2 linked regions of the Rattus norvegicus genome follow. The protein of the gene in region 2 purifies or fractionates together with the protein of the main gene of each other region. This does not show direct contact. Links are inferred from orthologs where the notes say so. Each region holds a gene or a part of one and is shown on either strand. Other genes may lie near its edges.

What was found.
Region 1: the proteins of Sox2 (region 2) and Khdrbs1 purify together in Homo sapiens (affinity purification with mass spectrometry; 3 studies listed by BioGRID and IntAct, with this or other methods). This does not show direct contact. The link is inferred for Rattus norvegicus from reciprocal best matches to the Homo sapiens genes SOX2 and KHDRBS1.

What each region holds. Positions count from the first base shown.
Region 1 is NC_086023.1:147,352,887-147,356,534, reverse strand, and holds part of Khdrbs1 (KH domain-containing, RNA-binding, signal transduction-associated protein 1), read left to right. Parts: intron 1-512; coding exon 513-646; intron 647-2,197; coding exon 2,198-2,399; intron 2,400-2,791; coding exon 2,792-2,859; intron 2,860-3,648. UniProt on the Homo sapiens protein: Recruited and tyrosine phosphorylated by several receptor systems, for example the T-cell, leptin and insulin receptors. Once phosphorylated, functions as an adapter protein in signal transduction cascades by binding to SH2 and SH3 domain-containing proteins.
Region 2 is NC_086020.1:119,463,553-119,467,961, reverse strand, and holds Sox2 (transcription factor SOX-2), read right to left. Parts: upstream 2,832-4,409; 5' UTR 2,469-2,831; coding exon 1,509-2,468; 3' UTR 420-1,508; downstream 1-419. UniProt on the Homo sapiens protein: Transcription factor that forms a trimeric complex with OCT4 on DNA and controls the expression of a number of genes involved in embryonic development such as YES1, FGF4, UTF1 and ZFP206. Binds to the proximal enhancer region of NANOG.

The sequences.
Region 1 (3,648 bases), on a different chromosome or scaffold from region 2:
ATAAAGATAGGAGTGGTCAAGGGAGAGCTAGGAAGGAAGCACCTTCTGAAGAACTTCATTAGTGAGGGTCTGCTGTCAAGTCTTTCTTCAAAGAACTGACAGTGTAATTCGACATCAAAGAATTTTGACTTGAGACTTCATCTAGCCTTTCAAGGCTACTCTTTTTGGGAGTGGTATTTTGAGATGGGGTTTCATCTCACTGGGTAGCTCGTGCTGTTCTAAAACAAAATTGTAGACTAGGCTGGCCTATATATCAGAGATCTGCTTGTGTCTGTATCCAGGAGTGCTGGGATCAAAGATGTGTGCTACCATCTCCAGTGTCAGACCTGGTGGGCCTTGTGAGTCTTAGGAGGAGGAGCAGGGGTTGGGGATTTAGCTCAGTGGTAGAGTGCTTGCCTAGCAAGCACAAAGCCCTGGGTTTGGTCCCCAGCTCCGGAAAAAAAAAAAAAAAAAAGAAAGAGTAGGAGGAGGAGCAGATGTTACAGGTGCTCTTTGCTGTCTTTAATTCCCAGGACATGATGGATGATATCTGCCAGGAGCAGTTTCTAGAATTGTCCTACTTGAATGGAGTTCCTGAACCCTCTCGTGGTCGTGGGGTGTCTGTGAGAGGACGAGGAGCTGCCCCTCCTCCTCCACCTGTTCCCAGGTAAAAATAGTTAAAAAGAAAATCTGACTAACCCCAGGAGGAGTCAGAGGGTTTATATAGTACATCAGGTATGGAATCTTAGCAGTCGGGTATTGCAGTCCTACTGAAACTTCAGGGTTTTTAATTTTGGATAGTCCTAGCATTTAAAAAAAAAAAATCCATATATCCATCCATCCATTTGTGAGCTTGGTGGTGGTGGTGGGTGTGAGGGTGTAAGTGTATTAGTGTGGATGTGTTAGTTAAAGGACAGTGTGTTAGGAATCCTATATTTTGGTCTTGGGGATTGAACTCAATGTCAGTCTTAATCAGCTGGTGTGTTTACCCACTAGGCCGTCTCATTCATCCCCAGTTGCCTTTTTTTTTTTTTTAAAGAATATTAATCACTATGTGGCCCTGGAACCTGTTAGATAGACCAGGCCCATCTGAAACTCAAAAAGAGATCCACTTTTGTCTCCCAAGTGCTGTGATGAAAGTCATGAGCCATCATGCCTGACTATATATGATTCCAGAATTTTACCTTTCGTGGTTAATATTTATGTAATATTCAGACAGTCGAGACTTGCCTGAGGTGCTATGATCGTGATTGAGCCCAGAGAATCTTGAAGTCTAGTTCCCTATATGTATGCTATTCTGTGCTTTAACGTCTGTTTTAGGGTTAGAGAAGGGCCACAGTTGGTAGAGGGTTTGCTTAGCATGCATAAATCTCTGGGTTTGATCCTAGCACTGTGCAAACTCCAGGGGATGATGACACACAGTTATAATCCCAACACTTAGGAAGTGAAGGCTGAAGTACAAGGCTGTCCTCAGTTACATGCTGAATTCAAGACCAGACTGGGTTATGTGAAACCCTGTCAGAAAAGGGAAGGAAAAGTAAAAACCAAAGGACAAGCAAGGGATACAGGCTCTGACTTACCAAGTGTGGCAGCAGAGCCTTCCTTTAAGAAATTAAAATTAGGACCTAGAGAGTCATTAAGATCACTGGCTCCTCTTCCAGAGATCTCAGTTTAATTCCCAGCTCCCACATGGTGGTTCACAGTCATCTATAATTCAGGTTCCAGAGGACCCAGCACACTCTTGTTGACACCTTCTTCTGGCCTTTGTGGGCACAAAGCGTACCATGTGTGCATGCAAGATATCCATACACATTGGATGACAATTATAAAATAATAACTATGTGTGCGTATATACTGGAAAAAATTAAAGTTAAGCGGCAGTGGTGGTAAATGCCTTTAATCCTAGCCCTAAGAAGACAGAGGCAGGAAGATCTTTGTTGGTCTACAGAGTGAGTTCCACACAGAAATGTCTTGGGGGTCATGTGGGGGGTGGGGGGGTGTTAAGGTTAGCTCAGTGTGGTAACACACAACTTTAGTCCTAATACCTAGTAGAGACAGTAGCAGGTGGAGTTCCAGAGCTACATAGGAGGACTTGTCTTAAATGAGTAAGTAATCGAAATGTAAAAATCATCCTACTTCTAGAATTTATGAACAGTTCTTAATATGAATGTGGCCTAATTATTAAAATCTCAAATTAATGTAAATTTTCTATTTGTAGAGGACGTGGTGTTGGGCCACCTAGAGGGGCTTTGGTTCGTGGAACCCCAGTAAGAGGCTCCATCACCAGAGGTGCCACTGTGACTCGAGGGGTGCCACCCCCACCTACTGTGAGGGGTGCTCCAACACCGAGAGCTCGGACAGCTGGTATTCAGAGAATACCTTTGCCTCCAACACCTGCACCAGAAACATACGAAGATTATGTAAGAATGTTTTGAACAATGTATTGTTTCTTCCATACCTAGGTTGCCAGATAAGTAATAAGGGTCTTACCCTTGTGTGTAGATAGAAGACAGTTCTTTAAGATTTGGAATCTGTGTTCTTGTTCAGTTGAATTTTGAAGTATGAGACGATTTTTCTTCTATTTTAGGCATTATTACTTTGTCTGTATAAGTTAAATAAGTAAGTTGTGGTTTAACATACAGAATTTTACTAAGATTGTAATACTAAAACCTTTTGAGTTTTGTCTTTCTGTTCTGCAGTTGGTATTAGTATTTTTGAGGATTTTCCGTAGCCTGTTCATTCAAATGCCCATGATCCCCTATGGGCTGTGATTCTCTTTATGCAGTTCTGACCTTCTACTTTATCGTTCCAGGGATATGATGATTCATATGCAGAACAGAGCTACGAAGGCTATGAAGGCTATTACAGCCAGAGTCAAGGGTGAGTGAGTCAGGCAAGAAGTCATGTCTGCGCAGTGTCTGTAGAGATGGATGGTGGGTAGAGTTGGAGAGACTAAAGATTTGGGCAAACACTACCCTAAGGAATAGTGTAATCTAATGTTTTAAAGGTATTTCCTCCACTTTTGATGACTTGATGGCATATTTGTGGCTCTGAGAATTTGGATAACTGAATTTTATGCTAATTTAGGCTCTTAAACTAATTGATGAACATTTCCTGAGCTATATAGAATGGAAGAGAAAAATACCATTAAATAATTGTTTGTTAAGAAGCTTCACTCAGGGGCTGGAGAGATGGCTCAGTGGTTAAGAACACTGACTGTTCTTCCAGAGGTTCTAAGTTCAATTCCCAGCAACCACATGGTGGCTCACGACCATCTGTAATGAGATCTGAGAGCAACAATGTACTAATAAATTCAAAACGAAACAAAACAAACAAAAAAAAGAAACGTCACTCAGGGGTTGGGGATTTAGCTCAGTGGTAGAGCGCTTGCCTAGCAAGCACAAGACCCTGGGTTTGGTCCTCAGCTCCGGAAAACAAACAAACAAAAAATGTCACTCGGGTTTGGAAGAAAGAAGTATGCAGTTGGTAGAGTGCTGTCCTGCATGTCATCTTAGCATGGGATCAAGAGTTCAAGAACAGCTTGGGATACAGGAGGCTTTGTTTCATGAAAAACAAATCAAGTCACTTTAGCCCATCCACACTGGAGATGCCTATGATTCTAAGAACAAGCTAGAAGCTTAACCTGGGTTGTTGTTGTTGTTTGTTTGG
Region 2 (4,409 bases):
TTCCCCTATAAACCACATTTCAAAGGGCCATTGTGTTGTGAAGAAAATGAAAACCAACCCAGCCAACCTGGTTCTGATTTGGCTCAGTACCCCATCTACTAAGCTACACGAAAAATTTCAGAATCGTCTCGTTCTGGCAACAAGTGCTACAAGAGAGCTTAAGCCCACATCGCGCTTATTCACGCTGCTCAGGAAAGGAGGGGGTGGACTTACAATATATGCTTCTAGTTTCTATTCTAGAAATGTCAGCGCATTTCAGTTTCCCGTTTTTAATCATCCAGCCATTTTTTTTTCTTCTGCAGTTAATGCTAACAGACATTGCTGGTAACACCAAGATCTTGGTGGCTGAACAGTTATCCAATCCCCCAAGAAGTTATGTACAAGCATGCTAGCCAAAGAAATGAAAGACTCAGGCATAATTTCAGTGTCCATATTTCAAAAATTTATTTATCTCAAACTGTGCATAATGGAGTAAAAACTTAAGTTGGAAACGTAACTGTTATAAGGATGGTATTAGTTCAAATATATACATGGATTCTCGGCAGCCTGGTTCCAATAACAGCCGAATCTTTTAAAATACAACTACGGAAAATAAAAGGGGGAAAAAACCTTAAAATATCACAATTTACAGAAATATTACAAACCATAAGAAAATATTTCAAACACAGTAATTTCCATATTTTTATGTGAACAAAATGAAAAGGGTGGGATTGAACAAAAGCTATTATAAATTACCAACGATATCAACCTGCATGGACATTTTTTTTTTGCCTTTAACAGTAAGTTAAAAATTTAGTACAATCTAGAACGTTTGCCCTAAACAAGACCACGAAAATGGTCTTGCCAGTACTTGCTCTCATGTTTTCCTTTTGTACAATTTTAAAACTAAAACGTTCAAATCCGAATAAATTCCTTCCTTGTCTGTAACGGTCCTTAATTTAAGCTGCAGAATCAAAACCCAGCAAGAACCCTTTCCTCGAAAAATATTGGCAAATTCTCAGCTTATAAACAATGGACATTTGATTGCCATGTTTATCTCGATAAATACTGTACAAAAGTTGCTTGCAAATATTAAAACTTTTTTCATCGCCCGGAGTCTAGTTCTAAATATTACTGGTAAAGACTTTTGAGAACTCCCTGCGAAGCGCCTAACGTACCACTAGAACTTTAAAAAAAAGTTTTGCGTAGTTTTTTTCCTCCAGATCTATACATGGTCCAATTCCCCCGCCCTCCCCGCCGCCCTCAGGTTTTCTCTGTACAAAAATAGTCCCCCAAAAAGAAGTCCCAAGATCTCTCATAAAAGTTTTCTAGTCGGCATCACGGTTTTTGCGTTAATTTGGATGGGATTGGTGGTTTTTTTCCGCAGCTGTCATTTTGCTGCGGGTAATGAGATTTTTTTTTTCCTTTTGAGCATTCAGATTTTTCTTACTCTCCTCTTTTGCACCCCTCCCAATTCCCTTGTATCTTTTTGAAAAATCTCTCCCCTTCTCCAGTTCGCGGTCCGGCCCTCACATGTGCGACAGGGGCAGTGTGCCGTTAATGGCCGTGCCGGGCACCGGGCCGCTCTGGTAGTGCTGGGCCATGTGCAGTCTACTGGGCGCAGCGGGCTCCGGCACCTCGGCGCCGGGGAGGTACATGCTGATCATGTCCCGGAGGTCCCCGGCCTGGCAGGGCGCCCTGGAGTGGGAGGAAGAGGTAACCACGGGGGGGCTGGAACTGGCCTCGGACTTGACCACAGAGCCCATGGAGCCCAGCGCCATACCGGGGGTGCCCTGCTGCGAGTAGGACATGCTGTAGGTGGGCGAGCCGTTCATGTAGGTCTGCGAGCTGGTCATGGAGTTGTACTGCAGGGCGCTGACGTCGTAGCGGTGCATCGGCTGCATCTGTGCCGCGCCGTGAGCGTTGAGGCCCGGGTGCTGCGGGTAGCCCAGCTGCTCCTGCATCATGCTGTAGCTGCCGTTGCTCCAGCCGTTCATGTGCGCGTAGCTGTCCATGCGCTGGTTCACGCCCGCACCCAGGCCGGCGCCCACCCCAACCCCGCTCGCCATGCTGTTCCCGCCGGGGGCCAGCAAGCCTCCGGGAAGCGTGTACTTATCCTTCTTCATGAGCGTCTTGGTTTTCCGCCGCGGCCGGTATTTATAATCCGGGTGCTCCTTCATGTGCAGAGCGCGCAGCCGCTTGGCCTCGTCGATGAACGGCCGCTTCTCGGTCTCCGACAAAAGTTTCCACTCGGCGCCCAGGCGCTTGCTGATCTCCGAGTTGTGCATCTTGGGGTTCTCCTGGGCCATCTTACGCCGCTGCCCCCGGGACCACACCATGAAGGCATTCATGGGCCTCTTGACGCGGTCCGGGCTGTTCTTCTGGTTGCCGCCGGTCGCCGCCGCCGTGGCGTTGCCTCCTCCGCCGCCGCCCCCCGAAGCTTGCTGAGGGCCCGGCGGCTTCAGCTCCGTCTCCATCATGTTATACATGCGGGCGCTGGGCGCGGGCGCGGCCCGCCGGCGGCCGCCGACCCTCGGCCCGGCCGGGACTGCGGGGGCCGCGCGCGGGGGCCGGGATGCAGGGGCCGCGGGCGGGGTCGTCGGCGTGCACGGCCTTGCGCGGAGATCTGGCGGAGAATAGTTGGGGGGAAGCGGAGCTCGAGACGGGCGAAGTGCAATTGGGATGAAAAAACAGTCGCTCTCCTCCTCGGGCCGCCGCGATTGTTGTGATTAGTTTTTGGAAAGGCTTAAGCCTCGGGCTCCAAACTTCTCTCCTTTCTTTTTCTCTCCTCTTCTTTCTCCCAGCCCTAGTCTTAAAGAGGCAGCAAAGTACTTTTCCCTTTTTGCAAACACTCTCTTCTCTGCCTTGACAACTCCTGATACTTTTTTGAACAAGTTAATAGACAACCATCCATGTGATGGGGGCTGTCAGGGAATAAATGGGTTTCCGGCGGCCAATCAGCGAGCGCCGGCTCCTGCGCCGGAGCCCAGCCTCGCCAGAGGGTTTTGCATGAAAGGGGGCGGGGCCTGCCGCGCCGCCGAGCCGAGCGCAGCGGAGCGCTGTGCCCCGAACCGCGCGGGGGAGGCGGGCCCGCAGCCTGCAGCCCGCCGCGGGGGAACCTTTGTATCCCCCCCGTTCTCAGCAACAGGTCACGGCGGCACGCCTGTTCGAAGGAAGTGGGTAAACAGCACCAAGACGACAGCTCCTTTCCCCCATGCTACGGAATATTGGCTCTCTCTTGGGTACATAAGGGTGGATGGGGCGCGGAAAGCTGGGGCCAGGGTGGGGCGAGGCCCATGGGTGGTTCGGGGCGACCGTCCAACTAGTATTTCAGGAAGCTGGCAGGGCCGGAGGTGGTGTGCCATTGTTCCTCCGCTCATCCGCGGCACTGCTCTCTGTCCCAGCCCCTCTTCCAACCTTGTTGCCAACACCCACTCACCCCCTTTTCTCACAGAACAGACCAGAAGTTAGACCCAGGCCTCAGCGCCCTCCTGGCTTCCGCGTCATCGGCTGGGTTCCCAAACAGGAGTCCTCTGCCCATATGGCTGACTGTAGAGCTAGGGCCAGGCCCTGTACACAGCCTTCTTCTAGGCCGACTCAGGTGTGGCTCAAGGAACCACAGCACGTGTCCTGAACCCTAACTCCCTCCTCCACCAATCTGTCCCATCTAAAGGGTGCAAACGCAAAGCTTGAACTCACTCCTCCCTCTCTTTCTAACCCCCAACCCCGACACAAGAGGATTTCAGTGATGGCAATTTCAGATGAGAGCTAGGGGACGAAAGAATCAACAGAAAGAAGCTCCAGAGGGCAGAGGATGGGGGAGGGTCACGCAACTTCCTGGCATCCCACCGCGAGGCACGGAGGTGGCATTTAGGCTGCGCTCACAAACTCCCTCCCACGCAGCGTTCCCAGGATGGGGCAGCGCAGCCCGCATTGCCCCTGCTGATTGGCACAGTGGTAGTCGCGAAGGCCCGGCCGAGAGGCGCCGGGGCCTGGGAAACGCGCGGGGTCCAGAGGTGCAGGTGCAGGCGGCGTGCGCAGAGGGAAGGCCGGCCGAACCCGAGGAGCCGGGACCGAGCAAGCCCAGGCTGTGGGAGAATGGGCTGGGGGCGGAGGTAGGGGCTCAAGAATCTTGCCCGCCCAGGACCCGAGAGGGTAATTTTAGCCGATCTCCCATTGTCCAGACGTAAAGATTTCAATCGGCAGGCGCTCAAAAAGCCCAGAGCCACAGCACCACGTCCGTTACAAATAGGTAGTTTTGTTTCTCTTGTTGTCGCTACACGGAGTCAAACAAAGCCCCGTCTAAGTTTCCTTCCACTCTCTTGTTGGAACCTTTGTGGCTAAAATGCACTTGGGTACAAAAGAGGGGAGAGAAGGAAAAAAGTCCCGATGCCATTTTTTTTTTTTTTTAAATAAAGAGCTTAAACCAT